Arabidopsis thaliana: one gene and its partner. The protein of the gene in region 2 interacts with the protein of the main gene of each other region in a pairwise test. Each region holds a gene or a part of one and is shown on either strand. Other genes may lie near its edges.

The links. The genes of interacting proteins can lie anywhere in the genome.
Region 1: the proteins of AT3G55080 (region 2) and SEP2 interact in a two-hybrid assay, tested with the Arabidopsis thaliana proteins (one large-scale study listed by BioGRID).

What each region holds. Positions count from the first base shown.
Region 1 is NC_003074.8:465,414-469,168, forward strand, and holds the start of SEP2 (K-box region and MADS-box transcription factor family protein), read right to left. Parts: upstream 1,739-3,755; 5' UTR 1,275-1,738; coding exon 1,090-1,274; intron 491-1,089; coding exon 409-490; intron 268-408; coding exon 206-267; intron 102-205; coding exon 2-101; intron 1-1. UniProt on the Arabidopsis thaliana protein: Probable transcription factor. Functions with SEPALLATA1/AGL2 and SEPALLATA3/AGL9 to ensure proper development of petals, stamens and carpels and to prevent the indeterminate growth of the flower meristem.
Region 2 is NC_003074.8:20,414,366-20,418,120, forward strand, and holds the start of AT3G55080 (SET domain-containing protein), read right to left. Parts: upstream 1,679-3,755; 5' UTR 1,466-1,678; coding exon 1,349-1,465; intron 1,151-1,348; exon of another isoform or gene 1,021-1,150; coding exon 926-1,020; intron 468-925; coding exon 404-467; intron 300-403; coding exon 189-299; intron 87-188; coding exon 27-86; intron 1-26. Other genes in the region: ABCG16 (ABC-2 type transporter family protein), read right to left, coding at 1,977-3,755.

The DNA of each region.
Region 1 (3,755 bases), about 20 Mb from region 2:
CCTTGATGCAGCGAACTTGCTTCAGAGAGCCGTCTAGTTGACGCTCAAGCTGCTCTAGCTCCTTTGAATTCAGAGGTCCAAGATCCTCTCCAAGAAGATTTCTGCAGCAACACACTTTCATGATCAATACAAACTATATATATATATATATATATATATATATATGCTGTTTATAAATGATCATCATCCACATTAATGTATATACCTCTGCTGACGTTGCAGATTTTCATATCTACCTTTCAGCTTCAAGTACTCTCTGTAGCTGTTCTGAAAATTGCGAAGATAATAGACAATTGAATATCTATGTAAGAAACTTTGAAGGGCTTTTGTCTCAAAATCAAACATTTTCTTTAGATAAAATTAAAAAAGGATAAATAATTAAGATCGAAGAGATGTTGGAGATTAAACCTCAAGCTCTTTAGCAGGTTTGTTGTTGACTTCAATGGAGCCATAGCTACACTTCTGATACCTTTCCAGTGTCTTGAGCATGCTGAAAGATCAAAAAACACAAATCAGGAGAAGAAGAATCTATAAATTTAATGAACAAACTAAAATTTTAAAAACTAACAAAAGAAAATTTATAAAAAGAAGATCCCTTAATTAAAAAGATATTAAATTCATGTGGTGCTTAAATGTCTGCATGAGCTTTAATTAGACTGGTTAATGCATGGAACCACTAATTATTCTACGTTGGATCTTTTAAATTTCATTGAAGACTGTGAATCTTTAGTTTACTTTACCAAGTTCTAATCACATATATATCCGTGTAGAGACAATGAAATTACATGATAATAATAGTATATCATTATGATACTTTCCTAGCTCCGATAAATCTAAAAATAGATTGCAATTAAATCCCTAAGAATTTGACATGATGATTAAATTAAGATCAGATCTCGAAATTCAATCACTTGAAAGTACTGAATTATTCTTCTATAATCAAAACCTAATTAGAGATCAGATTAAGAAACTGAAAATATATCAAGTATTTTGTTAAAAAGCAATCAAGAAAGATAAAACTCATCACAAGACTAGAAAAATGAAAGATCTACACACAGATCTAATAAGTGTATAAAGAAAGAGAAGTACTTGGAGGTGCTGCAGAACTCGTAGAGCTTGCCACGGTTGGAGAAGACGATGAGAGAGACTTCAGCATCGCAGAGAACAGAAAGCTCATAAGCTTTTTTCAGCAAACCATTTCTACGTTTAGCAAACGTCACTTGTCTGTTGATTTTGTTCTCTATCCTCTTGAGCTCTACTCTTCCTCTTCCCATCTTTCCTCACCCCAAAAAATCCCTATCTTATTTTCCCTCTTTTATAGCTATTTGTGTAACCTTATTAGGGTATGTAATGTTTTATCTATATACAGACACACAGAAACATGACTTGGGTATTGCTTTTTCTGGGGAAAGATCTTATCTTTTGGTGAAGTAAACCCTAGTTTTCAAGAACAAGAAAAGAAGAGGAATAGCTAGAGAGAAAACTTTAATTAGCTTTCTTTGGTTTTTTTGGTTGTGATTTGATATTAGGGCTCTTGTTTATTCTTTAGATCTTTTCTCTTTTTGAAGGGTTGTGATGAGATTGTGAATCTGAAGAAAAGTTTTTGTGAATCTATAAAAGCTATAAAGATAAGAAAATTTGTGAGGGTGAGAGATCATTAGGGTTTGGTGATACAATATCTCTCTCTCTACTTCTTTACTCTTTCTCTCTCTTCCATCTTTTACACAGAAAGTAAAAAACATTCTCACACCTTCTCTCCCAAGTGCGTGCCACGCAGACACCATTATTTGCCATGAGTAGTTAGTTGCTAGTTGCTACTAATTAAGAAAAATGAATTAAGTTTTTAAAACAAACGTTGTCTAGTTATATAATCCATGTCCATATACATCTAGATATATGACTTAGATACCAATGTTTCGACTCTTTTAGGTCTACACGTACGTTGCCCAAACTTCATATTTGAGACATCTTTATTTATTTGTCAACAGAAATATTGAAACATGCATGGATCTTGATATTCTAAAGGTGCCTGAATTAAAATAGAACGATAACGTTTTAAAACCTAATTCCCAATTTGTAGTTTATATATTTCTTGTTTGATCCATATTATTACAAGCCTATATATAGTGTATATAAAACTCAATTAAGCTTCAAAAAGTCAGAAAACTCATCAATAGCTCAAGTTCCACTAATTAATGCCCGAATTTAAAGTTCATCTCTATAGTTTAAAATTTGTTCGTAGCTAGATTTTGCATCTTGGAGTGGTTAGTTATGTTTATTAGACACTTGGAATGCTTTTGAATGTACAATGTCCGGAAAAAAAAACTAATACTGAAAAGGGGATTTGTCCAAGTGGTGGTAGATAGGAGGAGGCGCGTGAGATTGGGGAAACATTGGTTTCTTCTGCAATGAATGAAACGAAAGCAGCTATCATCATTTTCTTTTTCTTACTTCACAAGCCGCAGAAAAGCCTCTCCTACCTTAAAATGGACATGTACGTGTCGCTTTTCTATTGCTTCCTATCTATTCGACAACATTGAAGTTTTGTTCTATTACTTTCGTATTCAATTTTTAATTTTTGTTTGAGAATACCAATTTTGTTTTGGATCTAAACTCGTTCTAATGTAAAAAATAATAATCAGCCGCAGTATATCAATATGTTACATTGTATCTGGACGTGGGATATCTGACCATGTCTCCATGAATCCATGATGATTGACAGATTTATAGGGATAAGTATCCTGGTTTAGGTAATCCATAAGTATTTATGAATATTATGAAAATAAATTTTGATCAGAAAGATTAATTAGTTAAGACTATGATGTAGGGTATTTTAAAATATTGCTAAAAATTTTGCGCGCTTTCAGTATGTATATTTATTTTACTAGTTTTCGGTTGATATATGATTTCTTGAAGTAATTAAGGTTATTAGCTAAATGGAAGAGAACGTGAGGAATATAACACATATGTGATCACATACGAATATATGTAGGTTTAACTTAATTGGTTCGTTGATTATTCTTTATAAAAGTGAAAGTAGATTTAAATTTGTTTTCCAATCTTCTATGTTTGGCCATTGTTTGCAAGAGTTTTGGGAATTAAAGTCTTTTTAGGTGAGACCAAGAAGGGTAAAATATGAGTTTTTGGGTCTAGAATTTATAAGTTAAATAGTTTATTCTCATTTCTAATTATTGTTGACCAAAAAAAAAAAAAACTGTTTGGTTTTGAGGTTTAATTACTTATTGTATATGTACACTCTCAATCATAATGTTTTGGATATACTGTATAGTAAATTTTTAATCAATCGTGTTTATTAGTATATATGTTACAAGTTACACCATTCGTCGTCTCAGTATCACTCTAATATCATTCTGGCGGATTTACTACACACAATTATGCAATTGTAAATAACTAAATACAAATAATTTTCCTTCAGACAAAGAATCTACGAGCAAAGATCTTTCTTCTCAGGTGACGTAGCAAGTCCGTATGTAGTAATTTAGAGAGACAGCTAAAAAACGTTAAAAAGTAAAAAAAAAAAAAAAAAAAAAAGTCTAGACAGTGGAAATTACGTAATAGGATGGGTGATGTGGTTCGAAGTACACGTGTCGATATATGACTGAATAGTAAGTAAGCTTTGACTTTTGTGGTAGGGGGCTGGCCCAAAGGGAGGAGTCACCTTTCTAACAGTGACTTGTCCCTCTTGTTTTTTTTTTACCCTTTCAATTTGTTTGATATTTTACCGTCTTATTACT
Region 2 (3,755 bases):
ACATAATAACTAGAGTGAAATCTCACCGAGCTATGCATCTCTGCAGGTTGAGGAAGTCGGCTGATATAAGGGACCCATCGAGACTTCTGATTCAAAAGCAATCAGAGACTAAGTCAAAACCAAAACACTCACATGAAATGGGAGACTTATTTTAAGTCAATTACTCAAATGTTGATGCCCTAGCTTACTTGACCCATTTTCTTCTCTCTTATTAGAACAGCAGCAAGCATTCCGATATTCCCAACTTCATTGCTCAATAAAACTCTAATATCCGAGGGGAGCTCATCTGGAGTTATTTGCTGAAATTTTAAGTTAGAACAACACTAATGGCATAAAAAGAATTTCCAATACTTCTTAAGACACATGATAACAGAAAAGCTCGTTTCAGTAGACAACAATATACCGCATTAAAAGGGACTTTCAACATGCAGTCACCAGCATAGATAACTTTGGAGGCGAACAGTGACCTGCTCAGAAGTTGATATAGTTATTAACATGGTTAGTGTATTTGACATTAAAGATAAAGCATCACACCAGGAGACAGCCTCTGGTAGGAAATGAAATTGGTTATTCTCACAATCACTCATTAAACAATCGCATAAAGATGGAAAACAATCAGATTACTAAACAAGACAAAATAACATGATTCAAAGTTGTACAATGTTTCAACTATTGATGACAAGACAGAACCATATTAAAGAACATCAAGACAAGTCATATAAAAATTAAGCTGCCACAGAAGGTATCAACAAAGAATCTGATCATTACATTGAAAGGGAACTATGAATAGAATTATTGAATAGAGAAAATGTGTCTAACAATCCATATTTTAATTGCCGGTAAACAGAAAACCGAGGTACTCGAAAAACGGATTTTGAAAAATACTTGCAAAGTTGCATCTTATTCAAAACATCATCAAGCCCACCTGCCATAGGTGGATTTCCCAATCGAAAGAGTATTAGTTATCTTTGCTCCAGCAATTCGCTCTAACCAGGGTAAGAAGTTATTGTCCAACGAAGCCTAGATATAAAATGGATAAGATGATCGTAAATCCTCTTTTGTGAGAGACATAAAAGTTCTGTACAACATCTTCTTACATCAATTAGCTCCCAAAATCAACAGTCTGTTTGGTTAACTATAGATAGAAGAAGCTAAAAGAACATAAAGGTTTCATCTTTGGTATCAATTGCTATCAGTAGAGGAGAAACATACATAACTTAGAAAAATTCTTGGAACCACACTCAGGTATGATAAAACTTTTCTAACACTTGAGATAATCAAGCTGTGAACAGTCCATCACATTGATTTCACAAATTTCACGAAAGTCTCAATCTTTCACAAATCAAACCTGAGTTTGGAGCTCTAACGTTAGTTTCCCGGCGAGACTGAAACGCTTGGCTAAAGAGCTAACATTGCGCCTTTGTTGAAACCCGAAAAGCTTCACTGTCGAAATGCAGAATAGCATCTCCAGCCAAACTGGATGGCGCGTGAGCAACCACCGCTCGTATTATGGACTCGTGTTTCGACTGCGGCTAGAGCAGAGCGGCCAGGACCAGACGATATTCTGATGCTGATTCGGTCCGGTTTGTTTCGGTTTTAAATTTCAGATAAATCGGTTTGTTTTTAATTGATTTTGTAGATAGCCTTCCAATTTTGACTTTTTGATACCTTACAAAGTGAAATGGCTTTGAGAGTTACTTGCCTCTAGCAACAGTGTCTGTGTCTCCTCATTTTTCTTCCACAATCTCAATGCCTCTATTTGAAATGTTGCATTAATTTTCTGAGTAAAAGCGATTCATAGGTGCTTTTTGTATTTCCAATTTCCTAAAGAATGATATTTTTTTTATTGATGGCAAAAGTAATACAAATGTTAAAAAGAATACAATTCAAATACACAATCAATCTACGAATTACAAGTAATGAAAAAGAATTACAATATATGTTTTTGGTTTTAGGTATCATCAGTAGTTTCAGTTTCACCTCCTCTTGTTTTTGCTCCCAAGCAACAAACACAAGTAAAACAAAATCCTAAATAGGAATCCGAAACCTACCGTGATAAGCAAGCAGTTCCATTTACTAAGCTGTGTCACTCCTTGCTGCTTCAGAACATCAGCACCCGTCGTTAAACACGTAGAGCTCGATATCCTCATACCTATCGACCGGCTCACAGAATCCAAAAGCCTCAGCTTCATCCCATACGTCAATTCTCCCAAAGGCGAGTTGTCGAAAAGCTGAACACCTCTCACAAAACATTCTGTAGGATCCGAGAACTCGTTCTGAAGAACCGCCTCGTATGGATACTTAACCAGAGAAAGATAATGAAACCAAATCCAATACTGAGGGATTCGATCTCTGTTGATGAAGAAGCCACTGAAAAGCAAGAAGTAAGCTAAAATAGCAACAACGATCGTGTAGCCTAACATCACATGTGGAACGACGCCGGATAAGAAAGTCACGAAGGAGCTTCCGGACCAGAAAGAGGCTAAGATGATTAAGCAGTAGAATAAAAAGCCCATTAGGCCTCCTTCAAGCCCAACAGCCCAAAACGTCGTCACTGCGAAAGCTAAAGAGAGGAAGATGAGCGAAGGGAAGGTAACAATGGCGTGAGAGAGAACGTAGGAGGATCTCCGGTAAGCGTTGTAAGCTGTTTCTCTCATGAAGATGTAACGTTCCTGGAGGAACACGGGAAGAGCATCGGCGCAAGTGTAGAACATTGTTGACATTGCGAATGCGAAGAACCCTAACCGCTCTTGAACTCCTTTTGGTGAATTATCCAATCGCCAGAATACGGTGGCTAAGATGAATCCGGTGACGATTACGGTGGCTAATCGCATTCCGAGTAGCTCCGGTTGTCGTCGGGAGTTGAGGATTGAGCGTCTGGTGAGAGTTTTGATTTCGATCCAGAACGGATTCGCGAATGCAGGGACGGCTAAGGTTCCGCCACCGTGGTTTATGACGGAGGAACCACCGCCGCCACCGGAGACTAGTTTTCCTCTGCTTATGCTGGCGGAAATCGCTTCTTTCAAGGTTAAATTTGGGTTTGGAGAAGCCGGCGGAGTTAGGGTTTGAGGATTGCTCTGTTTCTTCATCTCTTGCCATTTCTTGTTGAATTCAACTAATCCTCTTGTTCCTCCAGCTGATCCTTCGAGTTCTCTGATTAGATCGAGTGCAAACTCCGTTTGATTCTCGTTTTCCGGTATCGGATTACCGAACCCGGCGAAAAAGCTCGGTAGACTCGCCGGAGAACCACTAAAGACGGTGTGTCCACGTGACAAGAAGATAAGACGATCAAGTAAACTGAGAACTCTGTGACTTGGCTGATGTATTGACATTATAATGATACTGCCACTCTCTGCGATTCTCTTCAATACTTTAACCACCATGAAAGCACTTGTGGAATCTAAACCAGAAGTAGGTTCGTCGAGGAAGAGAACAATCGGGTCGTGGATGATATCGATTCCGATCGAAACTCGCCTTCTTTCTCCACCGGAGATTCCACGGTGTCCTTCGTCTCCAATGATTGTTTTAGCAGCGTTTCTTATCCCTAACTGGTCGATTAGGGCTTGAACTCGAAGCTTCTTCTTGGATTTAGGTAAGCTTCTTGGTAATCGAAACTCAGCTGCAAACATTAAGGTTTCTTCCACAGTAAGCATCGGGAAGAGAAGATCGTCTTGCATTACATAAGCTGAGATAACTTTCAGCATCCGAGATTGAAGAGCTTCTCCGTTAAGCGTTACCGTGCCCTTCAAGCTTCC